Linked DNA regions of Caenorhabditis elegans. The protein of the gene in region 2 interacts with the protein of the main gene of each other region in a pairwise test. Each region holds a gene or a part of one and is shown on either strand. Other genes may lie near its edges.

Evidence for each region.
Region 1: the proteins of pkc-2 (region 2) and cbs-2 interact in a two-hybrid assay, tested with the Caenorhabditis elegans proteins (one large-scale study listed by BioGRID).
Region 3: the proteins of pkc-2 (region 2) and clec-76 interact in a two-hybrid assay, tested with the Caenorhabditis elegans proteins (one large-scale study listed by BioGRID).
Region 4: the proteins of pkc-2 (region 2) and oac-1 interact in a two-hybrid assay, tested with the Caenorhabditis elegans proteins (one large-scale study listed by BioGRID).

Annotation. Positions count from the first base shown.
Region 1 is NC_003280.10:2,218,824-2,225,432, forward strand, and holds cbs-2 (Putative cystathionine beta-synthase cbs-2), read right to left. Parts: upstream 4,745-6,609; 5' UTR 4,718-4,744; coding exon 4,600-4,717; intron 4,554-4,599; coding exon 4,486-4,553; intron 3,891-4,485; coding exon 3,088-3,890; intron 3,044-3,087; coding exon 2,937-3,043; intron 2,744-2,936; coding exon 2,292-2,743; intron 2,248-2,291; coding exon 1,856-2,247; intron 1,810-1,855; exon of another isoform or gene 1,690-1,809; coding exon 1,641-1,689; 3' UTR 1,573-1,640; downstream 1-1,572. Other genes in the region: Y59C2A.3 (Trichohyalin), read right to left, coding at 59-517, 1,019-1,087; F54A3.5 (MICOS complex subunit Mic10), read right to left, coding at 5,662-5,835.
Region 2 is NC_003284.9:9,373,799-9,382,680, reverse strand, and holds the start of pkc-2 (Protein kinase C-like 2), read right to left. Parts: upstream 6,411-8,882; coding exon 6,325-6,410; intron 6,146-6,324; coding exon 5,979-6,145; intron 4,117-5,978; exon of another isoform or gene 3,986-4,116; intron 2,630-3,985; coding exon 2,560-2,629; intron 2,342-2,559; coding exon 2,241-2,341; intron 2,100-2,240; coding exon 2,017-2,099; intron 1,945-2,016; coding exon 1,704-1,944; intron 1,550-1,703; coding exon 1,390-1,549; intron 1,344-1,389; coding exon 1,103-1,343; intron 1,058-1,102; coding exon 737-1,057; intron 458-736; coding exon 254-457; intron 206-253; coding exon 1-205. UniProt on the Caenorhabditis elegans protein: PKC is activated by diacylglycerol which in turn phosphorylates a range of cellular proteins. PKC also serves as the receptor for phorbol esters, a class of tumor promoters.
Region 3 is NC_003282.8:3,963,186-3,970,308, reverse strand, and holds clec-76 (C-type lectin domain-containing protein), read right to left. Parts: upstream 5,064-7,123; 5' UTR 4,978-5,063; coding exon 4,758-4,977; intron 4,520-4,757; coding exon 4,229-4,519; intron 4,185-4,228; coding exon 4,001-4,184; intron 2,667-4,000; coding exon 2,573-2,666; intron 2,518-2,572; coding exon 2,281-2,517; intron 2,235-2,280; coding exon 2,090-2,234; intron 1,811-2,089; coding exon 1,722-1,810; intron 1,676-1,721; coding exon 1,560-1,675; intron 1,511-1,559; coding exon 1,477-1,510; 3' UTR 1,116-1,476; downstream 1-1,115. Other genes in the region: Y46C8AM.1 (C-type lectin domain-containing protein), read right to left, coding at 6,092-6,357, 6,477-6,693.
Region 4 is NC_003283.11:19,550,123-19,558,480, forward strand, and holds oac-1 (Acyltransferase), read right to left. Parts: upstream 5,848-8,358; 5' UTR 5,726-5,847; coding exon 5,622-5,725; intron 5,220-5,621; coding exon 4,955-5,219; intron 4,422-4,954; coding exon 3,960-4,421; intron 3,908-3,959; coding exon 3,787-3,907; intron 3,271-3,786; coding exon 2,963-3,270; intron 2,915-2,962; coding exon 2,794-2,914; intron 2,618-2,793; coding exon 2,401-2,617; intron 1,336-2,400; coding exon 1,146-1,335; intron 1,093-1,145; coding exon 925-1,092; 3' UTR 877-924; downstream 1-876.

The DNA.
Region 1 (6,609 bases), on a different chromosome or scaffold from region 2:
CTTCTCACACCTCAACCTTCCGCGCATTCTGTATAGCTTCAGCTTTCGCCAGTCTTACCAAAGATTCAATATCAATGAGAGGCCGCTCCTCTGTCTTCCGCTGCTTTCGTGACTCATATTTCCGTCGATTGTAGGCAAACTTCTCCTCTTCCGACATTTGATGATACCTGGCTCTCGCCGCCTCCGCCTTCTTCGCATTTGCCTCCTTCATCTGCTCGGAATCACATTTACTGTGGCGACGACGCTTTCTTTGCTCATTGAGAGCAGTTCGCTGCTCTTCCGACATTCTCTGCCACTTAGCTCTATCCGCAGCCGCTCGTCTCTCCTTTGCTGTCATAGTACTTTTATCATCCTGACCAGTCAGGTTGATCGGCAGCTCTGACGGGAAGACGTTACTGAACAGGTTTTCAGGATTCGCATCGGCTTCTCCTTCGCCGGGAGCATACACGTAGTCGAATTCTACCAAGTGGTCTTGTGTAACAACTTCGTAATTGGTGTCAAAGAGGATGGATGGCTTCTGAAATTGTGTTTGGTGTCAAAGGGTCCCATCTCGGTTTGATCTACGTTGATCTACAAAAAATGCGGGAACTGATTTCGCATGATTGAGAACGTGGTGCTGACGTCACATTTTTTGAGCAAAAGTTCCCGCATTTTTTGTAGATCAAACCGTAATGGGACAGCGTGACACCAAGTGTGTTCGTACTAGCTTTTTCAGAACTTTTTCCTCAAAAAAACCCTATTTTTTCGGTTTTCCAAAGATTTTCGCAATTTCTTCAAAATTTTATCAGTGAATCTTGGGGTTTAATGAATTTTTAGTGAAATTTTAGGCCGAAATTCGATAAAAATCAGCAAAAAAACCTCTGTGGAATCATTTTTTTTAACGGTTTTTTTTCCTATAACAAGCTCAGAATATTTCCTATTTTGACGTTTTCTTTTAAATTTTCTCCTAAAAATTATGATTTTGAGCATTTTTCACAGGAAAATCTCGATATTAATTCATTTCTCACAAAAAACTCACTTGTTCCGCTTGTGGAACCATCATACCCTCTTCCGCCATCATTTTGTCATTAAACACGAGAGAAGTCATAATTTCGAGCTCTAAAATATAAAAAAATTGATTTAAAACACCAAATTCTGCTCTAGAATACTAAAAAATTCGAGGAAACAAGAGGAAAATCAATAGAAAATGCGAGAGCGGAGAGAGCGAGAGGCGGCGAGAGTAAGTGTGCAGGGTGTCTCATTGTCCGGGCCCCCTTCGCGTGCCGGGGTGGCAGGGGGATTTGAGTGTGGTGCGGTGGAGCGCGATTGAGCTGGACGGCGAATATGGCTTCTGTTATTTGAATTATGGCTTCTGTTGTCTATTTTGCAGGGAATATGACGAAAAATCCATATTTTCACTAATTTTACAGGGCGAATTGCTGGAAAAATGCATTTTCGGTCATTTTTAATGCAAAAACCACTAAAATTCATCGATTTTAATGAAAAATCGGTTATATCTCAAAAAACTCGGGAAAAAAGCCCAATTATCTGGAAAAATATCAATGGAGCGCGATTGCACTCGGTTAAAAAGAGAAAAATCTTCATTCATGTCAAAAATTCAGTTCATAATTCCAATTTCAAGTATTTTTTTAGGTCACAATTTACAAGAAGCCGCGGGCTTTCATCCAGTCGTCGTCGAGGAATTTGGTGCTGAAAAATTATGTTTAAGCTTGGCTTTCGGGGCTACAGAGTAGTATTTTGACCTCTAAAAACGACAAAAACTATAGGTTTCCCGCAATTTTCAGAGATCAAACAGCAAATAGACCTCAAAGCAAGCTGGGCCTAATTTTGTAGGCCCCAGGCCCAGACAACTCACAGATAATTCCGAATCCCGTCTGGAAGCAGCACAACGACATTCGCATCCTCCGGCAGATCCAGCTTCCGGCACTGCTCCAACGCGTAATGCACCGCGCATCCCGACGATCCTCCACACAAGATCCCCTCGGTTCTGATGATCTCTCGAGCCATCAGGAATGACTCCTTATCATCAGATTTTAGCCAGGAATCTACTGATTTTTCGTCCAGGGTCCCCGGGATGAAGTCGTAGCCGATCCCTTCAACCTCGTAGAAATCTGGAGCGGGTCCAGTCGTCGGGCCGGTCAGGATTGATCCATTCGGGTCAACGCCGACGACGATCGCGTTGGGACGGCGCTCGTGGATCTTCCGAGAGATTCCGGTGATGGTACCACCGGTTCCTGCGCCAAGGACCTGTAAGAGTAACAGTTGAAGCTTGATCCGAAGTTCCTACTCACCACTAGATCAATCTTCCGATCCCCCATATCCCACAAAATCTCCTCCGCAGTCTCCTCATAGTGTGCCAGTGGATTCCCCGGATTACAGTACTGATCGAGAATCACCGCACCCGGAATCTCATGCTTCAAGCGAAGAGCCACTCCGATGTGAGAGCTCGGGCTGTTGAAGGCCGCCTCGTTGGGAGTCCGGACAATCGTGGATCCTAGCACCGACAGCGTCGTCGACTTCTCCTTGGACATCTTCTCAGGCATCGTGATCAGGCATTTGTAGCCACGGACCGCCGCGACCAGGGATAGGCCGATCCCGGTGTTGCCAGAGGTGGGCTCGATGAGGGTGGTGGCTCCGGGGGTGAGTGCTCCGGGTTTGCCGGTTTTCTCAGCAATTTCGACCATTTTCTTAGCGATTCGATCTTTGGTGGAGCCGCCCGCGTTGAGGAACTCGCATTTGACATCTGAAATTGTCCAAGATGAGGATTTTTGGCAGACCAGGCCAGGCCAGACTAGACTAGACTAGACTAGACTAGACTAGACTAGACTAGACTAGACTAGACTAGACTAGACTAGGCTAGGCTAGACTAGACTAGACTAGACTAGCCTAGACTAGACTAGACTAGACTAGACCGGACAGAGGAATTCCCAACTCACAAACATTGCACCTGACTCCATGAGCCTTCGGAACGTGCTGAAGCTTCACCAGTGGCGTCTTGCCGATCGCATCGAGGACTGAGTCGAGAACCAGTGGTCTTTCCGGCCTGAAAATCAAATTTTCTGCTAAATCTCAGATCCTATAACCTACCTGAACTTGCTGGAACTCTTCCACTCCCCGACCATCTTCGTCGGATCGTAGTCCAGCACCTTCGGGTCGAAGATCTCACGAGGCTTGATAGGCTTCTTGCCGTTCACCTTCATCCAATCAGCATCTAGATAGTCCCTGATTCCATCCATCAGAACCACCACGACCACTGACCCGGCTGGAAGATCCTTGGCGAGTTTGATGGCTTCCAGCACTGCCGCTCCGGAAGATGGTCCAGCCATGATCCCTTCCGTCTCGATGAGGTGTCTGGTGAAGGTGTAGGATTCAGGAGCATCTCGGATTTCCACCTTGTACTTCTGCAGAAGAACTTCTGTTTCTGGAGCTGGAGCTGAAGCTGAAGCTGAAGCTGAAGATCTCACTCCGACCACTGTTGTCTTCTGATCCTTTAAGAAGTAAGCAGCGATCCCTGCTGCCGCTGAAGCTCCACCAGCATCCAGGGGTACCACAACTGCACTGGTCTTCCCAGCCTTCTCAATCTCCGGTGCAGTTCCTTCAAGATTCGCCAGAAACGCGGCTTTCTCGCAGATCCCATCAAGATTGTAGACACCTCGACGCTTGGCCAGTAGATCAGCCTGGAGCCGAGCTTCTCGGAAGTTTGAAACCGGGAGCTCCACGATCTTGGTTCCCAAAGTGCTCAGAATCGTCCTGACCTGGTCGAATGCTCCGGGAGGTGCGTGGGCGGTTAGTCTGACCCCCTTGACGGCTGCCACGGTGGCATAGGAGACTGCAGATGATCCGCCGGCGGTCACGTAGACCTCGTCGCCTCGTTGGATTCCGTTGGACATCTGAAAAAGAAAAAATCAATTAAAAAAATTTGTTTTTGAGATTTTAGATTACTTTCTGGGATTTTTTATTATCAAATTCGAATTCCTCGCCATTTTCTGAGTCTAAAACTCAATTTTCAGCTCAAAACTCGAAAATCGCGTGAAATTCGGTGTTTGCGTACTTTTGGCGCTACCGTACCCCGAGAAATTTCAAAATTGAGCTAGAAACCTCTAGTTTTCGATTTTCCGACTGAAATTTTAAGATAAATTCGAATTTAGCAGCGAAAATTGGTAAAAATTATTTTTAGTCCATTGTGACCAAAAATTTTAACTGACACCTATAATTTTGTGACTATTCCCGGAAATGTGGAAAATTTTAACTAAAAAATTCGAATTTCCCGCAAAATTTGCTAAATTTTAAACCCCATATCGACCAGATTCGGTTAAAAACCAGAAATTCGGCAATTTTTCCGCGCGTTGCGGCCGCGTCGCGGTCGAAGCTGGAAATTCTTCAAAATGAAGCGATTTTCAGCTAGTTTCTGCAGTCCCAGACTGAAATTTTGCAAGGAATTCGAATTTTGAATTGACATTTCCCAATTGTTCTCCGTTTTCTCACCTCAAATGCTCGGTGAGCCGCACGATCTTCCAGCGACCCGGAGATGTTGAGATATTCGAGTTTGACATCTGAAAATTGGAAATTTTCAGATTTTTCTGAAACATAGAAACTCACAAATATCACTTTTCAGCTGAAACTCGGCCTTCAGCTTCTTCAACGGCACCAGTTGAGTTGCTCGGTGGCTCCCGGCGTCCAGAATTGTCTTGAATGCTTTAATGGTAGGCAGGCACATCCTCCAGTCGGGCAAAAAGTTGAAACTGATTATTGATTGATTTCCAAACTGATCAAATTCACGAGATAAGGATGTGGAAAACAATAACACGGGAGGTCATACGGAAATTTTCTTCTTTTTTGAAAGATCATTTACACGTCATCAATTTAAAATTAAATTAAATTTTCATTGATTTCTTTTATTTAAATTACACGTGATATGGATATTTTCACAATTTTCAGCCGAATTTTTATAATTTTCATGGATTTCAGGCGTATTTTAAAGATTTGCAGGGGTTTAGAAATATAGGGGTACTGTAGAAGTACTGGTAGTCGGTGTTTGCGTACTTTTGGCGCTACCGTAATCCGGGAAAATTCAAAATTGAACTAGAAACCTCTAGTTTTCGGGTTTTGGCCTGAAATTTTGTGGGGAACTCGAATTTGAGCTCGAAAATTGGAAATAATCATATTTTAACAGGGTTTTGCAAAGAAATCGGTTTTTAGCAGTTTTAAACAGAATTTTCTTAAATTTTTGATGTAAAAATGAAAAATCTGTCTTTTCCATCCATTTCCCGATTTTTTTTCTTATAGAAAACTGCAATTTTCAAATTTTCGGTTAACCCGTCAAAATTCAAAATTTTTGTTCCGTTTTCTGAAAATTTGCTCATTTTTTGAGAGCTCCGAATAATTTCTGTGCATTTTTAATGCGAAATTCGAATTCCTCGCTATTTTCTTAGTCAAATCCTAAATTTTCAGCTCAAAATTTTGCGGGGATTTCGAATTTGAATCTGAAAATCTGAAAATGTTCCGTTTTCCATGTGAAAATCCGAAAAAATCGATATTTTTTCATAAGTTTATTCACACATTTTCCTATTTTTCGACACAAGAGAGAACAAAAAAAAGCGGGGTGGCGGGCGGAAATTCAAAAAAATCTCAAAAAAATCGAAAATTTATCTCTTCTTTTCTCTATTGCTTGTGTTGTTCGGTGATAATATTGTATGCCGGTTTTCCTTGCGAATCCTGTCCAGCTGGAACACGTTTTCCGTGCAAAACGTACGGCGAAGCGAAATCGTGACGGCAATTCGACCATCCGGTGCCCAAACCGACGCCTGATCCAAACCAAATTGGCCACGAGCGGCTCTGCAAAAAAATGAGCTTTTTTTTTTCGGGGGAAAATCGAGAAAATTCGGCTGAAAATTAACATTTTTCGAAGAAATTTTTTTTTTTTGAAAAATCAATTTTTATAGATTTTCTACGTTTTTTTTTAGAAAAAAAAAGGAAATTTGACGGAAAAATGTGGAAATCGCGAAAAATCACCGGAAAATTGTGAAAAATCGACTGAAATTCGATATTTTTATCGATTTTTCAACAATTTTCCATTGAAAAATCGATAAATCATTGATTTTTTGCTATTTTTCAATGAAAAATCGATAATTTATTGATTTTTCGTTTAAAATAGCGAAAAATCAATGATTTATCAATTTTTTTGTTGAAAAATCAATAAAGTATCGATTTTTTCAAAAAGTATCACAAAAAGGACATTTTAATTGCGATTTTTTGAAAATTGCCACTGAAAAATCAATAATAAAACTATTTTTATCGGAAAAAGAGTGAAAAATCAATAAATTATCGATTTTTCATTGAAAACTAGCAAAAAATCGATAAATTATCGATTTTTCAATGGAAAATTGTTGAAAAATCGATAAAAATATCGAATTTCAGTCGATTTTGCGCGAATTTTAAAAATTGTCAATTGAAAAATCGAATGTCCTTTTTGTGATACTTTTTGAAAAATCGATACTTTATTGATTTTTCAACAAAAAAATTGATAAATCATTGATTTTTCGCTATTTTAAACGAAAAATCAATAAATTATCGATTTTTCATTGAAAAATAGCAAAAAATCAATGATTT
Region 2 (8,882 bases):
AAAGTTCATCTTCGTCTTCTCCATCAAATGGTGGTTGTCCTGCAAGCATTTCAAATAGTAGGACACCATAAGCCCACCAATCCACAGATTTTCCATAAGGCTGATATAGAATAATCTCAGGAGCAATGTAGTCCGGAGTTCCACAGAATGTTTTTGTCGTGGCGTCTCCGAATATGTTTTCCTTGCACATTCCAAAATCGGTGATCTAAATATGAATCTATAGTTTGAAAAACAGTTGAGCAAATCGGAATACCTTTATATGCCCGTCTCGTTCGAGCATAACATTATCCAATTTCAAGTCTCTGTAGATGATACCTTTTGAGTGAAGGAAAAACAGACCGACGGCAATTTCAGCAGCGTAGAAAACAGCAACTGGTTCTTTGAATTTCCCAACTTGCTGGATTTGATACATCAGATCACCACCATTTACAAATTCCATCACGAAATACAAACGGTCCTGAAACAGAGATTCATCAAAATACGGATTTGATTGGGGGTTTGAAGAGTTTTCATTCAAAAATAAGTGCCTTCAGGACTTATGTATATTATATTCCATCTATCCAACAATTATTATTTTCAATGTCATACTTACTGTTACAGAATAATTTGCAATAACCTAGGGAAAAACACGTGGATGAATGTCAACAATGTATTACAAATTCGAACATCTATTAACATCTAAATACTTCCACATGTTTGATCCCTTTTTTTCAATAAATCTGTTATGCGCACTGACCATGGTCTGGAAGCACGAATGCAGAGCAACAAGGAATGATGGTTTTTCCGGAAGAGCAAGGACGCGCTTCTCAGTCATTGTGCATTCCACGTCATCGTCTTGAATAATCACATCTTTCTTGAGCACTTTGATCGCAAACAGCTCTTTTGTTGTTTTTTGTTCGCCAAGCAACACTTTTCCAAACGATCCTTTTCCAAGAACAGTGAGGAAATTAAAGTCAGAAGCCTTGATCACGTTGTGATTGGAACTGCCGAGAGGAAGTGTACTAGCTCTTGGGGCAGCCGGGTCTTTTGGCTTAGAAGAACTGTTGTCTCGTGTGATCTAAAACGATAAAAGACACCTAATTGCATTAGAACTTATACTTACAAAGTTTTCATTCATCTTCTTGCGCACTTTTTCCATATCTTCGTCGTATTCAGGTGTGATGTTGATATTGTAGAATTCTCCTTCTTCCGCACTGAGCAGTTTGTACCAACCGGACGCTGCTTCCTTCATAAGTTCTGAAATACCAAACGACAAGCTTCCCATGAAGTCATTTCGAGATGTACGATCCCAGTCCCAAACTTCAATAGAAAGCCGCCGATCCTTATCTCCTGGTAGCAGTTTACTGAAACCCAAGTTTTATTTTTAAATAAAGTGTTACAATGACTTACTAAGTAAAAGTTTCATTCCATTGAGGGTTAAGAGTAGCTCTCAATGTTTTAGTTTTCTGTTTTGACTTGCATCCCGAATCCTCCGGAATCAGTTTGCACTTCACATAAGGGTCAGACAATCCATTGGGGTCCATTGGAATCAAGTTTTTCGCCTCCAGAACTGTAAAACAAATGTTGTGTATCAAGATAATTATACACTCTAGCAGTTTTGATGAAAATATTTATTTTCCTGAGAATCATTGAACAACGTAAGTTCAATTCTTTCAATCTTTTTGTCTATTTCCATTTAATTTCCTGCGTTGCACCCCACTCACTTTTAATGGTTAACTGATCATTCTCGATGTGTGCTTCAATTCGTAGTCTACCTCTCTTCTCTGTATTGTCGGTACCACACATGTTCGGCACATTCTTGACGCATCGGTGATGCACATTTGTGTCACAAGATTGGCACTTCATGCCTTGGTGCAGAATACCGTAGAGCAAAGAGCCACAATGATCGCAAAACGTCGGCGATGAGTATGTTTGAACTTTCCATTTATGCTGCTGGCGAGGATCCTGAAATTAAAAGTTTGAGGAATGGATGTCATAAAAAAAGAAGAGAAAAAGAAGATAGAGTGCACAACTTACATCGGTATCTACTCCTTTATCTGCTCCTGGACATGCGAAATTGACAAACTCGTGACACCTCTTGTGTACCACAAGGGTACATACTGAAAACAGAGTTCTCTTTATCTATCAAACTTGTTTTATAGTCGCATTTTATGATTTATAAACATTTGTTTCGAATTGCATTGGATACAAATTAAGAAGAAAATAATTATTAATATCAAATAAAATTTCCAATAAATTACCTTGGCACTGAAATCCCTGTTTTGTTATACCCCACAAGAAATCTTTGCAATGTGAGCAGAACGTTGGCTGTTTGAAAAACCTTGCAATGAATTTGTGCGATCTGATAAGAATTAAACTTTGAATCAAAATTGTGCAACAAGAACAAGATATTGATTTTTGTTTTCATTTGAAAGACCTATGATATTCAAAGATAATGAAAGAATTTTTTTTTTCAATTTTTCAGTCAAAATAAATGTCAGCTATCAAATAACCAAGATAGGAAAACGGACAGTGCTGACTTTTACGAGGGTTTTGTTTCAAAGTTTGGTATCAACTCACTTGATTTCATGCACATTTTTCTGGCGAAGTGCACCACGACGAACAAATGCTTTTCCTTCGATCCGTTGAGCTGAAACGAAGACAAACATGAAAAAGGGAATCAAATAGGTGAGTTTTGCTCTCCGAGCCCCGCGCAATTATATCTTCCCCACCATTTTATTTCTTAGTGTAACCTCCCCTCCCTCCTTTTGTATTCGTTTTCTATAGTTGCAAACTTTGAAATGAAATGGGGTTTGGCTTCCGTGTCGTGAGGTCATTTTAAGGATTAACTTTATTTTTGCATGTTTTAAAGAACAAAATGATTACTCTTGAAAACATAAAAAACAAGAAACCTACAAATTCGACGTCGCAAGTTTTTTACAATCGTAAATGCGCGTTTCATGGGAATGGTGGGAAGCGAAATAGGGGAAAATGGGAGGGTATGAACAATTTTTATCAGGAAACACTGGGTTGTGTCACTTTTTTATTTTCGCCCTTTTTCAATAGTCATAGGACATGCGGGCAGAAGATGCTTTTGTCTTGGAGGTCCTCAGAAACTTTTTGCCATTTATTGTTTTCTTAAGAACGGAAGAATTTTAATGGAATTTCACTACTATGTTTGTTTTGTTTACAAGATTGCTGTTAATGCAATTTATATTAAAAAATTTTAGAAATCAATAAAAAATCATAATGAGAAAAGCTACATTTATTTGTTGGGCTAACTTTGCATGGATAATTTGCAATATTAATTTTTATATTGGCTTTTTATACTGTCAGATTTCAAAAACATAAACTAACAAATGTTTTATAGTACTTAATAAAAATAAACATTTTCTGATGAAAAACAAATCCCTCTTCACATTGTTTTGACCTTTTTTCAACTAGGACCTGTATCTTCAGAAACTTTTTTTAAAAAATATTGCTCACTGATTTCAAACAAAATTTCCGTCTAACAATACCAAGCCAGTTTCAAAAGTGTTTCATTGGTAATCAATTTCAAAAAAGGAAGCAAATTGGGAGGTTTTGTAGAATAGCTCACCTTGTTCGTGAAGCCTTTTCAGCAATGGCCGGATAGATAGACGATGAGAAAATTCAAATCTAGGAAAATGTATGATACCGGGTGCCTCGTGATGGGCGTAAACCTTTAGACTAGAAGGGTTTGATATAGACTTTCGAATACAAAGTTGTTGATTCCCACCTCCACCAGTGGAATTGTTTTTCACAGGGCTGATTAGAGCAGCCGCCGCTAAAGACTGTGCTTGTGGAACTTCCATGAAGTGGTACAAGATTAAAATTAATAAAATGTTTCAAATGAGCTTCTGACGTTTGGTGGCGGGGCTTGAAAAGGGTAGCAGATGATAGCTAAATGAGTTAGAGGCGGTGAGCAAACGTGAAAAAAAACGGAGGTTTTCTCTCGTTTCTCCCGTTTTTTCGGTTAAGGTCCCGAAATGAGAAGAAGCAGCGACGACTACCCTAGCAAATGAAAAGCCGAGGCTGATGGCGTCGTTCTGCACATGAAAAATAGAACAATTTGGGTTGGGACCACAGGCCCCCGCCGCCGTTTCACTCCTCATCAATGGATGCCGCATCCACCCCACCCCCATTCCAATTTCCATTTCTCCTGTGTTTTTTCTTGGTGCGTGATTGACTCCGCCCACCTATTTCCTGTAATTCTTGATCCCTAATCTGATTTTTATTCAATCTGGTTGCAATTTTGCAAAAAGACTGAGTGGCCTGATTTTGAACCCATCTTTAAAAAATTCCATACTATCAAAATCAAAAATACCCGTTTGTAAAATTATGTGAACTTAAAAGATCAGTCTCGTAAAAAAGACGCGAAGAAAAACAAATTATGTCGGTGAAAAGGCGATTGTGCGATGTTTGTTGCCGATTAAACTATGAATTATTTGGATAATTAACTTCTGAAATTTTAAAATGGGCATATGACAGAATGCGGAGGTGTTCATAAATGCACTAGATACTAGAGATTAATATAAGGTAGAATACATTAATTTATAAATTTTCAAGTTTTCCGTGTAGCTGTTCGGCGAATTTAATGTTCTTTTAACGATACCTTAATTCATACCCGCTATCAGCCAGCTTAAAAACTTCAAAAGAGGAGTACCCTAACCCCGTATTTTTAATAGTTCAACATTGCTAAATATCATAACAAAACATTCCGAAAAATTATGGTTGAAATTGCATATTAAAAAAGTTTAATCAAACGTTTATCATACTATGTTTATCATCACTTTTTTGTTTTGGCGTTTTTACAACATCCATTCTTATCTTTAACAATTCCTCAAATTAATACATAGCATTGTTCCAAATTAAGTCTACCACTATGTTGAAAAACATTAACTTTAGTCATAAGATAAATTTGTTCATGAAAATTTAAGGAAAACATATGATGTTCAAATTCTAAAGAATTTTTTCTCGAAACTTAAAATACAATCAATGTCAATTGGAAGATCAATGACAAAAGGAAACTGGTTTTTGTTTTTTTGCAATGCCAATGCGTTGGTATGTATTGTGATGTCCCAATTCTAATTTCTAATTTTATATTTAGTCGTTTTTTCCCTGAGATGTTTAATTCTATTTTGGCTCACTTGCGATTGAAAAGAGCAAACAAAAAAGTTTAAAATGAAGCAGTCACATGGAAGCTTTTTTTCAGACAACCGCCTTTTTTTCTGAATGCGTTTTCTGACGTCAATTTTAGGCAAATGGCAACAGATTTCTCAGTTAATCGACTATGGACATTTTAATTGAATGATTCATCAATGGGCATTTTTGACAGATAGGGAGTGAAGATGATAGAAAGGAACCTAGTTTTCAAAAAACTGCCACAGCTGCCCAGTTGTGCTTTTAATTAGATAGTTTTTCAAAGTGCGAGAGAAATTGCGGAAACAACTACAAAGTTATCAGAATCACGTACTAACACAGATATGCTAACCATTACTAACTACAGTGAAAAATATAATATTTTGTAGATCATATTCAAATAATGAGTCCGTTGAAAAGGGCTTTACTTTCAGACTTTGCTTCTTCTCAAACCTGAATAAAAATAATCTTGGTAAACAGAAACCTTCCAAATATTTTTAACACTACTTTTTCATATTTGATAATATAGGATGTCACCCTGCGTCTACCGGTAAAATTGTTAAACACAAGAAATATGAACTGCAAACGGTAAAAAATCATAATATGTAGAATATCAGTGATGAAGGTTTTGAACATGTTTTTAGAGTTAATTGATTTAATTCATAATTTTTAAAAAATTACTTCCCCTAACTACATTCTTCACGCCAAAATGGGCCCTATCCCATGTGTGTACTAAACACCACTCGCCTGAGAACCACATGAAACGTCAGAATACAAATTAGAGGGATACAAAGGACTTGTGTTTTTTTCTATGCTACTGAATAGTTTTGACGACTTACCGAAAGCTTCAGATAGTTTACGAAGTGCAAGATTCGACTCGAGCATAGGATCGGACGACAGATCGAGGCTCGGCCGAGCATCAGCGCTATTTCTGGGACCACCACCAATATCGGTCTCGGATCGTCGACGCTCTGCACTATCCATCGTCTCGCGCTTTTTTGCCTTCCTTCACCAGAATAAATCTTTTACAATGGTTTAATGAAAATCGCAGATGGGAGGAGGTATGATGAAGGGATGAATGGAATAACACAAACTAATGCAGGGAGGTAAGAATTGGCAAGAATTTTGAACGTCAACACAATAATTAATTTAACCAGAAACAGAAAACGTGAAAGAAATATTTACCTTAAAATATGAGATGTTAACGAAAACTTGTGAGACTTTAAGAACACCGAAGTGGATGATGACTTTTGCTTTGGTCGTAGGCTCATTTTAAAAGTTTATGAGTAAGAATATCAGTAGTTCAAATATTTAGTAAATGGAACTCTAGAAGAGAATAATATCAGATGGCCGGAGGTAAAACCACTACACGTCTTCCTTTTTCTCTCCTGGTTAGCTGTTGGAGGAGCTTCCCGGATTTGTGGCGAGTATCATATTGCCCAATTAAAAAGCGGTGCACAAGTATCAAATCCAGACATAGTCTCCGCCTCCGATATCCTCTAAGCCAAGAAGCTTATAAACATACGCACATACACACGTACGTCCGTGAGAAGAACGAAGCGACAGCAGCGATAAAGCTGAGCCGTTTTTCCTTCTTTTGAGCTTCTTTTTTATAAGCTAAATTTTTGGGTCAAGTTTACATACTTCACACCTTTCAAGTCAATCGAAGAAGCACATAGAAGGAGAAACAGAAGAAGCCTTGCCTCTAGTTTTTTTCCTGAATTGAGAACGAGGATAGGAAAAAAAACGGGACACGGATCAGGTTTCCAATAGCTTCTCGCTCATTATTTTCTTGTGTGTTTGAGCACAAGGGCAAAACTTTTCAGCTGTTGCTCTCAGGCATTTGGTTTCCTCATCCAATTTTTTTGATTCCAAGAATGTAAGATGATGACAAAAACTGTTTGTTTCTGACAAAACTATTTACAATCTTGAAAATTATGCAAATATATCAAGGTTGTAAATTTTCAAATATTTTTTTGCCGGTAGATTTAATTCGCAAAAAGAAACAAAAGCTAATATGAGCTTTCAGGAAAATAATGCTTTTCACGCTATTAATTGGACATTTTCAACTAAGTTCTTTTTTTTCGAATACTTATTTGAAACTGAATAAAAACAGCAGGTTTATGAATTTATATATTTTTATATTTAGTGTCACAAGTACTATAATTTTATTTATATTTAGTATCACAAGTACTATTAGGTCTCCAAATAAGTTCCGGGTCAAAAATCATAACTTTGTTCGCTGCGTATCGATTTTTATGAAACTTTGGGATGTATGTTACCAACCATGATCTTTCATTTGACAATAGTCACAAAAATTTTTTACCACCCCAAGTGTCCTAACTCGGAGGCAATTTTTTCAGGCATTTTTCTGATCTCGCTTCTTTTCAGCTTTGAATTGAGGTTTGTGTGCGGATTTTGCTTTGTTTAGAATACATTTTTAGAAAACAACAAAAGTTTAGAAAAAATCCGTCCAAAAAAAAAATTTTTTAATTTGATCGTCAAAAAATCTTCAAAAAACTTTTTGTCGAAAATTCTATATTTTTCCTACAAGAAAGATGTAACCAAGTGTAAATTACTTTTACACATACAAAACATTTGGGTTTAGTTTGTCACACTAAAATGATAACATAAAATATAATAAAATTTTTTGCATGTGTAAAAATAGTTTATAATTGGTTACATCATTTTTGTAGGAAAAATCTAGATTTTTCGAAGATTTTTTGACGACCAACCAAAAAAATTTTTTTGGACGGATTTTTTAAAAATGATTTTTGACCCGGAACTTATTTGGAGACCTAATATAATTTTAGAAACATATTTTTACAAAAAAATTAAAAAAAAATAATATGAGGAATAAGACGATAGATTGATTCACTATTAAACTTTTATAAGCTGGCTGGCTGATCAAGTCTTGCGTAGAAATTATTACTCTCAAGTATGATTATTATGGCAATAATAATTTTAACTCAAGAAGAAATATTTTAATTTCACAAAATACGTAACTTTTTGTAGCTTTGTTCCCAAAACTAATTTTTGAGCTCTCAATCTAGAATTAATCCACTGTTCACCACTGATAAGGAGGATATTTCAGTGCTTGTGCGCCTTGGATATTATAATAAGTGCGCAGTTATTGGCTATTTTTAGCAGAAAAGAAGAGTGTGGGGAAGTCTTTGAACTAGGGGATCATCCGGTATTTGTCGGGTGCAAAGACAAGTGAAGAAATTTGAATTTTGCTGTTTTCTTAGGGACTTGATATTTTATTACTAGTTCAAGTTTTTAAGCACACGATGAATTAGAAAATCGACTACACGTACACATTCTTATACATTATTCAGTAAGAAAAACTTAGGGAAAAGGGAATAGAGAAACTTGTGAAACCTGGGTAATATTTAAGCAAATCATGCGAGGTAAGGTACTAAGAACGAAGAACTGAAAATGCCTAATTTTTTCGGAAAATCGTTTTTTCATAGAAAAATAAATTTCAACGTGAGATTTTCCAATCAAAAGAAGAGAAGAAAATAAGAAAATAAGCCAAATAAGAAGCAGAAGCTGTTGACAAAAAGAAGCAAAAGTGAAGTATGAGAAGAAGAGTAAAAGGCAACTAAGTTATAGCCCTCTTCTTTTAACGGACTTCTTCACGAGCACATGGTCAAACGGCCCTACAATCAAATCACGCATAGAATAAGAGATAGATAGCAAGGATCCTTCTCCCTGTCACTTCAACTCAAGATATTACGTAG
Region 3 (7,123 bases), on a different chromosome or scaffold from region 2:
GTCATTTAAAGCAAAAAAAAAATTTCGACTTTACTCCACCTTTATTCAATAAGTAAATATCTCAACAATTTGAATTTTCCCCAAAAATATATATTTTGATGAAATTCTAGTCTTATGATCAAAAAACCTTATATTTCAGACTAATGTTAGCTATTGTTACTCACATGCCACGCAGTTGTTTGTCTCAAAATTCGGAAGATATGCCAAGTAGGAAGGACCTACTGGATTCTGGTGATGACACCAATTCCGAGCATCCTCTTACGTCATCCGTTGAGCCACATACGTAAAGCATTGTCCTGCGATTCCTCGGTCACCGTCTAGACAAGCGGCGTTGGCTAACTCAAAAATTATCGAGAAGAGAAGTAGTTTGGGAAGCATCTGGAAATTCAAATGCGTGCAAAAAGTTTACCTACATTATATATACATCGGTGACGTACACATATGTCGTTCTTTTTTCACGAGATAAGGTATAACTTTGGAAATAATGAATTCTAAGCAAATCACGATAAGAAAAAGCTAAGATCAATATAAAAATTTGATCAAAACTGCAAATGATATGAACACACAAAAGTTCACAAGAACGTGACGTTGAATCAAGCTGTGATAAGCAGTTGGAAATTATTACTCATTACGTACTCTCGATCAAAAGTTAAAACGATGTTTGGTACTGTGTGTCTACTTTGAAATGCATTTCACAATGTTGCACATCACGTGGGTCAGGTTGTCCCATCTCTCTACTGCACACAAAGATGGCAAAAATTAAAAAAATGCAAACATATTTTTCCCGCCATAGTTGTCAAAAACACTTGGTTCGTCTGACTAGAAGCGATTTAACCATCTTATATATGCGAAGTATTTAAAAGGAATAAAATTAGTATAGCAAAAATTTTCTGTGAACTATTGTGTTTTTTGAAATCAATCTACGGTAAAAGTTTTCAAAAATTTTTTTGCCATATGTGAAACGTCAAAAATGAGGAGGGGGTCCTATAGAACTTTCCCACACATGTATGTACGTCAGCGATACATGTGTTATGTATACACACCTATAGGTAAACTTTTTGCACTTAAATGTATTTCTTCTTTGCGTATTTGAATTTTCAGACATACAAACTACTTTTTTAGATTGCCCTTGAATCTCATTGTCCTTACTATCAGAACAAGCGGAACGAGATATCCGGACTAGGGATCTCAGGATAGATATTTTGGGAAACATATGAAAAAGTGAATAATGTGAAGCAAATGCGACGAGTGTTCAGTGATTTCAGTGACTCGCCCCAAAAAAGTTTTAATAGCTTATCAGGAAATTCGGAAACCCAAGCACAACAATTTCAACAAAATCTTAAATGAATGTATACATAAATCTAGGAAATATCCAACATTTTCTCGAAAGCCGAAGTAAGTTGAGTTTTGGAAATTTGAATTCGACAAGAAAACACAGTAGTTTTATTGGAGGTAAGTGGTAGAAGTTAATAGTTATCAATCAGCGTACGGCAACCAATGATCAGTAGAGCTGAAAATATAATTCTGTTTGATCGAACACGATTTGCAAAATGACTTACGTTCCGTAAAATCTGATTTGCATAGTTTCACTAGTGAAATAAACAAAGTCCAATGTCACATTGTATATTGCCGCATCAAGTATTTCCGAATTTGCGCCATTATTATTAGTTTCAAACTGCAATTTTTACTACAAAACATTTTGCTGGATGTTGAAATCTTACAGATAACCCGTGCACACTCGCTGTGCTCGAGTATCTAGAATATGGACTATACCAGTGTAGGAGTACAGATTGAGTAGTGTTGACCGGAGCTGAAAAAGTATGTACATGTACTAAATGAAGTGATACATATGTAGTAAGAACGTTTCAAGAGTAAATCTGTATTTTCAGAACAGGAAGTTATTTTTTCGCCAGGAAAAAACATATATTGAGATGTTCTGCACGGTTTAAAATCTGTGTAAATTATACTTTTTTAGCGAATCATCGCTTCTAATTGAATTTCGAACTGAAATAAGTTGCAACAATTTTTCAGATGCTTGAGTACACTTTGCCGCACCCAAGTTTTTGAGCATTCTGAATCTATCACGTACTATGGTTTTGAAGCATCATTGACAAATAATAAGTACCATCGGCTGGTACGGACATTGAAGCGAGTGTTTGAGATCCTTGTCCTGATACTTTGGGATTGTCAGCATATATTGCGTATCTATAGCGTATAGGCATTGATTCGATCATCTGAAAATATGACTGTTTTAAAACAAAAGTTGTATGTAAGTATGACATTTGAGAAAGAGGAATCGCGTCCAATAGAGTAGATTCCATTGGTTAGAGAACACAGATCATAAAGCCCCTGAGACACTGTACCGCCAGAAGGAGCATGAGACGCAAGAAAATTGACCATTCCTTGACTTTTTCGAACTTTAAGCACAATGTTCGATACATCTGCTGTATTGGGGTATCGTTTCGACAAAATTATAAGATTTGAACCACACGTGGCTTGGGTGTTGTCGTAAAATTTCTAAATCTTTCAACATTATATATTTATTGTTTTACCTGTTCAACCGAATACTTACGTTAATAACTTCAAACACATTACTTCCTGTTGTTGCTTCTTCGAATCCTAATGTATAATCCGGTAGATGAGAGGAAACGTAAGAAGAGAATAGACTGAAGTATTGTTTCAAGGTGGTGCCAGTGGAGAAATTGTGAACAGCCAGAAAAATGGCCAAATATCATTTTCAGAAATGTTTTGAAAACTTTTTGTTTCTTGTCAAACAGAAACAATTTATGCCACTCATGATTTTGGAAGTCAACCAAAAATAGTTTTTTCCTGCATTTTTTATACTGTAAACTTGTTTTAATTATTAGTATTAAAACATTGTAGGGGTCGGAACTTGCGACATTGCTTAGGATGTCCTCAAATGCTAATATACATTCCCTGCGATTTAGTTTTAACTGAATCAAAAAGAAATCATTCGAAATTCCAGCTATCGATTTGAATGTCAAGGTTATGCCGCTGAGACTTATAAAAATATACCGTCTGCACCTGCATATACCGAGGTCTGTAACTTATACCGACACTATTTCTCTGCTGAATAAATATCTTAACCGAATATCCGGGTTTGGAAACACTTTTGCTCGATTTCTGCAGATCGCATGACCTGGTTCAGCACGTCAAAGTCCCAAAAAGGTCACACAACATCTTAGATGTGATATTCAGTAATTGCAAGCTGATTTTTCTCTAGAAATACTAAATGAACTGCGACGTGAGTACAAAGAGTAACATGATTTCACAAATATAGACCTGTTTGCTTGCGCATTTAAAATATACGCGAGCTAGAGTTATTCTCACCTACAAACTCAATAGATACGATGTTTCGGATATTCCTGACGAATATGAAAAACGCGTTTGAAGTTTCAGTGCCTAAAAAATTAACACAAAAAAGTTCACTCCCACCATACTTAACCTTACTCAAAGAATTTGCTGCTAAATTATACACCACAGCTGCGAAAACAAACAACATTGAAGCATTTCTTTTTAATGTATGCACATCTAGAAAATATAGGAAAAAGCTTCAAAAAACCAAAGAAACCTTAAATTGAAAGCGCTCAAATCCGGAGGGAACTCTGAGTTCACTCATGATGTAAAAAATCTCATCAAGTCTAAACAGATACATCTATCTAGTTTAACAACTGCATCGGGGGCATTAGTCAGCACAGACCAAGAAAAAGCGGAACTTCTTGCAGATAATTTCAAAAATCAGTAAAACAATGATTTTTGTATTCTTTTCTAATGACGCGATTCAAAAATCGTATTGAAATAAATAAATAAATAATTTTAAAATATTCGGCAATTTGCCAAAACTTTGACTGGAAATTATGAAAAATTTAAAACTTTTTTGAATGTTATATTTGGCTATTTTGGATCACTGGAGTGTATTTAAACAAAATTCCCACTGTCGTTACTTAAAACTTTGAAACGTTTTAGGAACAAAACTTACCTGTAGTCACTAAAGTATTGGATATCTTCTGGCTGACGTAAATCAAATCTCGAAACGGCGTAAGTAACAGATTGGCTTGAAAGTGAAGAATAATACAATGCATCCGTCACAACACTTGGAGCCAAGTCATTTGAATAAGCGAACAAAATAATTTGGTGATCACCGGGTTTGCAATTAAGTTTTTCTAAAATGATACGTCTAGGAGTGAAGAATGTTTCAGTTAATTACCTATTGTAGTGGTTGTCATTCGTTTTGTGGTACCAGTGATACTTGTCATTGTCGTTGAGTTGACAATAGGCGCATAACTGCAGACAAAGAAATTCAAATCACCATCGCCCAGTGTATCCCATTTAGTATTGGAGATGCTCTCAGTGAAGTAGTTTTTTCCGACGTTTGTGCCAAAATTGGTATAAGCGACTGGAAGCCCGTTATCCCAAGACAAGGATCCAGACGAGGCGTTTCTACTGAGACCAATCCAAAAGACTTCAGCATCCGCGCCAAATGCAGAACGAGCGTAAACTAAAATAAATTAACTTGATCGGCGCCAGCCGACTGATAAAATTTCGTCGGCTTTCGGCCGATAATTCTTTGTAACATTGTAAATGAAATTTGAGAGTTTTGAAGAAATTTGCTCTTTTTTCAAAAATTTCAAAAGTATCGGCTGGCTGTACCAGCCGACAGCCAAAATCTGCAATATCCCGGTTGAAAAAAAAATGGTAATAGTCGACCCTTTGTATTAATCGAAATGTATACTCACATGCTAAGTAAGTTGATGTGTCCTGGCTAGGGACATAAGCCAAATAAGAAGGACCGACAGGATTCTTCAAATGACACCAAGTACGAGCATCTGTGAATGTCAACTGTTGGGTTACAAACTTGAAGCAAAATCCTTTGATTTCTTGATCATTACTGTCAGCACAAATAGCACTGGCAAACTCAAGAAATGCTGTTAAAAGTAGAAATTTGGGAAGAAGCATCTGGAAACTCGAAAAAAAGTAGTACGACTCGAAACACGATGTATGCAGCAAGTGGGGGTCTCGAGTACGCAAGATGTACGCAAAAAGTGGGCTTATCAATTTTTAATACTTGCATATGCATATGACTTGTGATTTTTCATAAACAAAAAGGTATTAAAACATTTTATCAGAAACACATAGGAGTTTCTACAAAAAAAAATGTGTAGTAATAATTTGAGGCAGTGGCGGTACGGAGTGGAAGTCGCAACATTATTTGGAAACTCCTTATTGACAATCGATCTAAGAGTATCATTGATTGCATACTAATGAATAATAAAATGAACTCAAAATTTAAAATTTCATGTGTGTTTTCAAGTTTCAATTTCAATTTCAACTTTGCTTGAAACAAATTAATTTATAGCTGACGTCTTGTGAATTATTCCATTTTGGCTTTTTTCTATCTTTTATAAAATTAAATAAATTAAATTTTCAAGGAAATTTCACTGACATATGAGAAAACTACAAACAAATGTGCATTTTCAATTGCTCCATCCTTGTCAGGAAGTTGAAACCCAACATACAATGAACTGTAGTTTCAAAAAAATTTCTTTGAAATATTCAAAATTGTCTCGAAAGCCAAAGTAAGTAGATTTTTAAAAATTTTCGTGCAGACAATTCACAGGAACACAACCGTTTTATTGAAGGTAAATGGTAGACAAGCAAAAGAGGATATAGAACAGCAAAGCACGCGCGCGAACGCACACGAGATTGCTGTAGCCTAGAAGTTTGGAGGCATGGGAATTGAACTCGTAGTGCACGGATGGTTCCATCAAACGACTGTAGAATGAAGTGACAAAGTGGCTGATCCATAGCGTGATTGACTTCTGGCCGGTGTTCCTGTAAATAAAATCATTAATCCCACGATGACGGAAACGGAAGACAAGAAAATGCGAAGATACAGCGCAAAAACCGCAGTTTTTTTTATTTTGACAATAGTTTCAAGTTCTAAGATTTTGGAAAAATGACAAGCAAAAACCAAGGCGTTGAAAATAATCGAACAATTTTTATATTCATTTTTCAGCAATTGAAAAGAAATGGCGGCCTATGAGCTCCGTGATCTAGTGCCACTAGTTGTTCAATGTGTCGTTATTCCAGATTTTGTCGTTGAATTGCCAGGTGGATCATAACTGCACAAAAAGTAGTTCTTATCGAAATCCCCCAGTGTATACCATTTTGTATTGGAGATGCTCTCAGTGAAAAACGTGTTTCCTATGTTATCACCGAAGTTCGTGTATAGAACTGGAGATCCGTTATCCCATCTATAGTAGCCAGAAGAACCATCTCTAGTGAGCCCGATCCAAAAGTTTTCAGCATCCGCACCAAAAGCTGAACGGGCGTAGACTGAAAAATACATTTTATACAAAGCTTTAACGAGAAAAATGTTTCAATTGGAGGCAGGTGTCAGGCTCTGCCTCCCAGGAAACCCTAATGGAATTGCTACAAATTTTCTTGATACTCACATGCCAAAAAATTGCTCGTTTCCTGATTAGGGACGTATGCCAAATATGATGAAGCAGCTCGGTTGTAGTTAAAACACCAATCACGAGCATCATTAAATGTGACTTGCTGAGCTACAAATTTGAAGCATAGTCCTTTGATTTCCTGGTCGTTACTGTCTGGGCAAACGGCACTAGATAACACAGAAAGTGTTGCCAAGAAAAAAAGTTTGACATACATCGAAAAATATGATTTTGTGGAGAAAATAATGCTGGAAGTCGGACTGTAAAAAATTTCCTTTTATGGGCATTTGTTATCGGTGACATTGTGATAAGAAGTGGAAAAGGTGATGTGCAAATAGAAGATGAAAAATTTTTAATACCAACTTTATTCAACTTTTGCAACTGTTGCGCTTGGAAATTTGTTAAAGTTGCTAAAGTTGGCAGAGAAGTTGCCGAGGAAGTCCGGATTTTGTTTAAAGGTGGGGTACCGAAATTTGAGACTTTGCGTTTTTAGACCCAAAATGGTCCAAAACTACCGAATTTCGTAATGAGACGTTCTGAAAATTTTTCAAAAAAAAGTTATGGCCTCTCAAAACTTTAAAGGATGATAATCAAATAAAAATCGAGTTCCAATCACTGCGACACCGATAAGTTGCCAAAATTTGAGA
Region 4 (8,358 bases), on a different chromosome or scaffold from region 2:
TTCAAAACTTTATAAAAAACTTTAAAATTTTGCAACATTGATTTTAGCGGCTACAAACTACAAACTATAGACTACAAACTACAAAATACAACATTCAAACTATAAAATACAAACTACAAACTACAAACTACAAACTACAAACTACAAACTACAAACTAATACTTACAAACTAACACAACTTTTATTTTCAATTGTGAATTCTCGGGTTCTCGGTTTTCTATTTTTTTCAAGATTTTCAAAGTTTTTAAACGAGGAAATAGAAAACCACAAACTACAAACCACAAACTACAAACTAAAAACTACAAACTACAAACTACAAACTACAAACTACAAACTACAAACTACAAACTACAAACTACAAACTACGAACTACAGACTACAAACTACAGACTACAAACTACAAACTCCGATCTAAAGCTTCTATTTTTGATTTTGAATTCTCTGATTCTCGATTTATTAGTTTTTTTGCTGTCCAAAGATTTATCAACGAGGAAATATGAAACATTAAACACAAACTACAAACTACAAACTACAAACTACGAAATTTGAAATGCATACTACAAAATACACACCTCTTTTCTAGCACTGACAATTCAAATTTTGAACTTTTTCTGAATATTGAGAAACTGCGCGAGAAAGTTAGAAACTACAAACTAAAAAATACAAACTACAAACTACAAACTACAAACTACATACTACAAACTACACCATACCAACAACAATCCACTTGAACATAGAATTGCAATAAGTATTCATATTATTTCCAAACTTATTGAAATTTTGAGTTGTGGGTTGTTGTTGCTGTTGTGTAATTGTAGTTTGTAGTTTGTGTTTTGTACTTTGTAGTTTATAGTTTTTAGCCTCTAAAATCAAAAGTTAAATAAACACATTTATTTTTTTAAAAATTAACAATGAAAAAATGAGTCAAACAGTCTCCAAAACTTCCTCAGCAATCTCCTTGAACACTTTATCACACTTTGCCACTGCGGGACCCGTCAAATGTATGTGATTATCCACGTATGATAGTTTTGTAGTCCTGTCGAATGTCAGGTACACGTCGCCGTCGAGAAACAGCTCACCGAGGTTGAAAACCTGGAATTAGTTGGGGAAAATTGTTGAAAATTCGCAGAAATTTGCACCCAAACCTTGCATTTTGTGCACTTTATCCTACTGAAACGTTCACGAGCCGTTCTCCAATCCTCATCCACGTCGATTTTTTTCAAGTGAAGGCTCTCCAGCTCCGCTGGCTTCTGGGTTACTGTATCGAGGTACTTGTTCATAAAATTCAAAGGGTATAGCGGGTGAGGTGCCAGGATGTAGATTTTCTTGGCGAATCTGGAATTTTTTTTAAAAGATATTGAAAATTGAGGACGTACAAAATTAAACAACTGCCCAACTTAAAATAAACTAGGCTTCTAGGTACGGTATGTCAGGTCTAGGTAGGTTAGGTCTAGGTAGGTCATATTGAAATAAGACTAGGCTTCTAGTACTCTACGTTACAGGAAAAAAAAACTCAATTTTTTAATTTTTTTTTGTCTTATGTTTTTATCAGATTTTCAAAACTTTTCTAATTTTCAGAGTTCGATGTTTGTAGTTTGTAGTTTGTAGTTTGTAGTTTGTAGTTTGCGTTCATTGTTTTTTATTTCCTCGCTGAAAAAAACTTTAATAAGCAACAAAAAAATAAATCGAGAACCCGAAAATTAAAAATTAAAAATAGAAGTTGTAGGTTGTTGTTTGCAGTGTGTAGTTTGTAGTTTGTAGTTTATAGTTTATAGTTTATAGTTTAGTTTAGTTACAAACTACAACTTTTGTTGTTGAATTTTGAATTCTCGGGTTCTTGATTAATTGTTTTTTTTTTGTTGCTTTTTTTAGTGGTTTTCCACCGAGGAAACAAAAAATTGAAAACAAACTACATACTACAAACTACAAACTGCGGACTACAAACTACAAACTACAAACTACATACTACAAACTACACACTACAAACTACAAACTACAACATTTATTGTTGAATTTTGAGTTTTCGGGTTCTCGTTTTGTTGTTTTTTTTTGTTGCTTTTTTTAGTGGTTTTCCACCGAGGAAACAAAAAATTGAAAACAAACTACATACTACAAACTACAAACTACAAACTACAAACTACAAACTACAAACTACATACTACAAACTACAAACTAACAAAAAATTGTGGACTACCTCAAAAAGAACGAAACTTTTTTTTTGAATTCAAACTGCGGTGCGGTTGAGGAGTAAATAAAAAACTATGACCACAAACTATAAACTACAAACTACGAAAAATTGTGGATTATCCTAACAAGATCCTTTTTGAGTCACTGTCAGCTCCAACCTCAAAGTTCAATTTTTTTCAAATGATCTACTAACAACCGCAAATTTTCGCTGACCTCTCATAAAACCGCAAATACTTATTCATCATCGCCACAACCTCATCCGTCTCAATATCCCATATAGGTTGTTTCAACGACGGAGAATATCTGGCTATAACAAACAGAACATCCGGTTTCCGAAGTTCCACCTGCTCCTTGGCAATTTTCAGGGATAGTTGCTCCCAATATCCAGCCGGTGTTGAGAAATTCCCGTTGTGGAAGAACCCGTTACAGCCTGAAAAAAATTGAAAAGAGGCTTGCACGTGGTTACGTAGATCTACAAAAAATGCGGGAGAAGAGACGCAGAGTTCGCAACTTATTTCGCATGGTTAAGCACGTGTTGACGTCACATTTTTTGGATAAAAAAATCCCGCAATTTTTGTAGATCAAACCGTGATGGGTCCCGCCTACCTCCAATAAAAAGCGATGTCCAATCCGAATAGTTTGAGCGAAATTGTGCTCGAATATGTCCGTCCAAATTTTCCACGTAGCTATTTCCAACGAGCATTACTGATAGAGTACCATTAGCTTTCTGTTAACAAGAAATCTAGTTTGTAGTTTTTATAGTTTGTAGTCCTACCGGATATCTGCAATAGTCAAATTTAAACCCATTCTTCCTCAGCTCGGGAAGCTCAGTCTCCAGACAAGTTTCCTGTCTGGGCTCATACGACGTAATATAGGGAAGAAGCTTCATATTCTCGTCGACAATTTTTCGAACTCTTGGCTGATATTTAGGTTTCCAGAATTCGTGGGTTCTAGTGCTCCATTGAGCTGCTCCGTTTAGGCAAATGAGCAGTAGGATCAGAAGAGCCGTCGGTTTTGTGCCAAGCTTCAGGTACTGTTTCTCGTAAAGGTGATGAGCCACTACAGAAATCAGAAGTGTCAGTGCTGAAAAATTTGAAAATTGGGGAAAGTGTAGTTTGTAGTTTGTAGTTTGTAGTTTTAAGCTTTTTCGCACAGTTTCTCAATATTCAGCAAAAGTTCAAAATGAGAATTGATAGTGCTAAAAAAGAGGTGTGTATTTTGTAGTATGCATTTCATATTTTGTAGTATGTAGTTTGTAGTTTGTAGTTTGTAGTTTGTAGTTTGTTTTTTATAGTTTTTTCACTTTCTCACACAGTTTTTGGATAATCTGCAAAAGTTCAAAATGAGAATGGTCAGTGCTAAGAAAAAGGTGTGTATTATGCATTTCATGTTTGGTAATTTGTAGTTTGTAGTTTGTAATTTGTAGTTTGTAGTTTGTAGTTTGTAGTATGTAGTTTGTAGTTTGAAGTTTTGTCAAATGTTTTGTTTTCAACATTGAAACTTGAAGTTACTGTATTCTATTTTTCCAGATTCTAGATTTCGATTTTAGCAATTGTAGTTTGTAGTTTCCAATTTGTTGTTTGTAGTTTGTAGCCTTACCAATACACACTGCATGACTCTGAATAGTTGATTCCTTGAAAATTGCAATAACCGGCCAGTGAACCAAATACATGACATACGAAATATCTCCCAAATAGCACAAAATTGAGCTTTTCAGGGTCTGAAAATTACCAATTTTCTGGAAAAAATTCAAAATTGGCTTGACATCTTACCCCGCAAGTCTTGTTCTCCAAGAAAATCACCGCAGAAGCTGAAAATGTTACAAGTGGGCGGAGCCAAACAGCATCTGCCTCCGCTGGGAAAATACACAGAAATAGCACGGCAACCAGGCAATATGCAACATCATTTTGGGGAATTTTCCACGTTTCTGGTTTAGAATCTTTCACAGGTTCCGTAGGTGCACATTTTTTCAGAAAAAGTGCCACAAATCCGGCGGAAAATTGCCATAACCTTAGCAGCATGTAATTGAAGGCAAAATTTGAATTGCTGAGTAAAAATCCCAACATTCCGAAAATCGAGATCCCGGAGACTAGTGCCAGCTTGCCACGTGGACTATTAGGCAGTCCAATTTGTAAGCCTATAAAGATTACAGGGACAAGCAGGTAGAATTGCATCTCAACGCCCAGGGACCAAGTATGGATGAAAGTGTTGATGGAGGTGCCGTCGGCGAGGTACTGAAAATGAAAAATTATGCTAAGTCTATGCATTTTTGAATTTAGAACATTAAAACAAAAATTTTTGGACCTCGCGGGGGTCGAACCCGTGACCTTCTGGGCGCAAAGAAAATCATGGAAAATCCCACTGCGCCATTCGGGACAAAATTTTTAAATTGCCAGAAATTAAGCTTTTCAAGGTTTTTACTGCATTTTTAACGTCATTTCCTATTAGAAAGTTGAAAACAAAAAAACTGGCACCAGCGGGGGTCGAACCCGTGGTCTTCCGGGTGCAAGGAAAATCCCACTGCGCCAAACGGCCCAAAATTTTTAAAATGTCGGAAATTAAGCTTTTCGAGGTTTTTAGTTCATTTTTAACGTCATTTCCTTTGAGAAAGTTGAAAACAAAAAAAACTGGCACCAGCGGGGGTCGAACCCGTGACCTTGTGAGTGCAAAGAAAATAAAGGAAAATCCCACTGCGCCATTCGTGCAAAAATTTCAAAAACGGACAAAAACGGCAAATTTTTTTTTTTCCATTTTTAATAAGAATTACCTGCTGAAAATAGTCATTCAAATCTTGGATCAGCAACTGATTAGTGACTAAAAATGTTGCAGCTAACGAATATCGCCGATTGACATCCCACCAAAACTCGCGGAGCCAAAAATGGGCGGAGACTAGGGTCACGACAATCGATAAATAGTAAAGTGGCAGGATTCGACGAAATCTGCGATAGTAGAATCCGAAAATTTGAGAAATTTTGGTAATTTTCACGTGGGTAAGGTTTCGAGCCATCAGGAAGCCGGAGATCACAAAGAATCTGAAAAAAAAATTTTGGTGCAGCCGACACTTTACAGGGGTTTTTACTGCGCTAAAGTCTCTTGAAACCTGACTGATCACGCAGCCGACACCTCACAGGTCCCTGTAGCAGCCGACACATCACTGGTCCTCCAAGCAGCCGACACCCGGCTGGCCAGTGGAGCAGCCGACCTCTCACAGGTTTCTCAAACAGTCGACGCCGAACTAGTCTCTAATGCTGCCGACCCTTCCCAGGCCCCTCAAGCAGCCGACACCTAACTAGTCCCTAAGGCAGCCGACACCTCCCTGGCCCCTCAAGCAGCCGACGCCGAACTAGTCTCCAAAGCAGCCGACACCTCACTGTTTCTTTGAGCAACTGGCGCCTCACAGTTCTCTTAAGCACCCGACACCTCACTGGACTTACATGTCAACTCCAAGGTAACCATTTGGAAAAACTGAAGGATATAAATGGTAAGTAAACACAAAAAGTATAGCCAATCCACGTAAGCATTGAATATCCGCACGCATTTTGATTCAGGAAGCTTTGAATTTTCTCCGAAAAAATTTTTGTGATGGGCGGTAAGATATTGGTCGATCATCATCATATTGTGTTTTCTGCTTTGAAACAGAAACATCTCCTAGAGAATTTTAGCGGGGAAAATTATCTCCCGATCTTTTTCTCGCAGGTTTCGGTGAAGCTAATGGACAGCTGAAGAGGTGGAAAAGTGGATAGAGTGTACTTTGGTGGATTAGAAAAATTGAGGGGAAAATGTGTAAAAAATTGTCTAAAAAAAGAGCATAGGGCTGCGAAATAAATGTCGAAAAAATTCTTTAATAAAAAAATTTTTTTTTTGAAATCAACAAAAAATCTAACTTTTCCAATAACTCGAAAAACATTTTTTTCCAATTTTTTTGAAAACCAACTCTCTAAAACATACTTTTTCGTCCAAAATGTCACAATATTTCCCAAATATTTAATTCGATCGGCAAATTTATCTGATCATATGCTGTTTAACCAGGTTTTTCCCAACACGTGAAAATCGTTTGAAAAACCGGAACGCTCCCCACGCGCGCGGCGGATAAACTAGACACTTCCTACATAGAGTGACGTTTCCAATTTTTGTAGGAATACAGAATCCAGGGGGAAAATTTCTCGGAAATATGTGTTTATTGTGTCAAAACAACAGAAAATATGATAACCACCCCGAAAATTTTGAAAATCTAGAATTTTAAAAGTTTGGGCCAAGTGGCGCAGTGGGATTTTGGCTTTGGCTCGGCTCAGAAGGTCACAGGTTCGAACCCCCGTGGTGGTCAAAATTGTTTGCTTTTATGCTTTTTCTGAAAAATAACTTTTAAAATACGAAAATTAGATCGAAAGCTGAAAATTGTTATTTTTAAAATTTTGAGCCAAATGGCGCAGTGGTATTTTGGCTTGACTCAGAAGGTCACAGGTTCGAACCCCAGTGGTGGTCAGAATTTTTTATTTCAACCATTTAGTTTAGAGTTTAGTCTTAGAAGAGAGACACTAACTCAAAATACCTATTTCAGGCGTTTTTCGAAAATTTTCAGATTTTTTTGAAAATTTTTTTTCATCATTTTTGTTGAACAATCCAAAACGTCGCAAATTCGATGTTTTTTGTTTTTGTTTTTTGAAACTACTATTTCTGTGCAATTCTGGTTTAAAACCCTAATTTTTAGACGAGTTTTAAATTTTGGTCGAATGGCGCAGTGGAATTTTGGCTCGGCACAGAAGGTCGCAGGTTTGAACCCCCGCCCTGGTCAATAATTTTTTCTTCGTTTTAATTGTTAAAAAAATACTTCTAACTTTTTTCATAACCAAAAACCTAATTTCCTATAGGTTTTCTACCCAAAAACCTTCAAAATCTTCCAAAACACAACAAAAAACTAATTTCGAATTCTGCACCTCTTCAAACGTCAATTGTTGTTTCAAATCGAGCCATTCAACCGCACAATTTCCTGCTTTGAAATTCCACAACAGCAGCAGCTTCTCCTCTTCTAGAAAATATAAGAAAATTGGGAGAAAAAATCTAAAATTCAGCATTGTTTGTACTCTGCAATCTGATACCTAATTATTTTTGGTTTTCTGAGTAAACATCGACGAGTTTCTGCTACTTATTTTCTAGTTTGGAGTAAGATACAGGTAGGATTTTGTAAAATGAATTTTGAAAAAATTGAAAAAAAACATTTTTGAATTATTTTCCAAAATTGTTTTTCGAAAATGTTTTGCAGAACCTCAACAAATCCTAGGAATTTATTAAAAATTGGCTTGAAATTAGTTTGCAGTGTTACAAAAATTGTTGGCCCTAGCCGGGATCGAACCCCTGACCTTCTGCGTCATAGCCGAACCTCTACCCAACTGAGCCACTGCGTCGCAACTTTTATTTTGAGAAAATTAGGTGTACGGTAGTGGTTTTTAGGACAAAATTTCACGGGGAATCCGAAAATCGTATCAATTTTCAATTTTGAATTGATTTTATTTTAGAAAAGTAGTTTCTATGGAATTTGTTTGTTTAAAAAACTCTCCAAAAGTGCATAAATCTAAAATAAGAGACTCAATAACCTCTCAAAATACCATAAAGTACTTGCCAAATGGAAACAAAAATCATTGACCACAGTGGGGATTGAACCCCAGACCTCCGAAACCAAAGCCAAACCTCTACCCAACTGAGCCATCGCGACCCATTTTTCTAAATTGCGAAAAAATTTGAGCCCGGAGGCTCAAATTTTCCGAATTTTTTTTAGATAAATGAACAATTTTAATAGTTTGTTACTCGGTTTCTCGTGACTTTTCTATTGTTTTTCTCCCCAATTTTCCGGTGTAAAAAAAACAATGAAACGCATATGTTTCGGGTGGGGTATAAAAAATAAAACTCTAGTAATAAAATAACGCATGTCTGGGAAAATTTCTGTGTTTTGATTCGAAATCACTTTTAATTTCGATTTGATCGAGGAATTTCTGGATTTTTTTCCAAATTTTTTTTTTCAAATTTTTAGATTTTGATGTCCCCAGTGGCAATTTGAATATTTTCCCAAATAACCAAACATCTCTCTGAGCCAAATAGTGTAATAATAAGAATTGGTGCATTTTTCCGCGAATCTGACAAGATGAGCTGTTGCGAAAAACAAAAGATGTGTACATT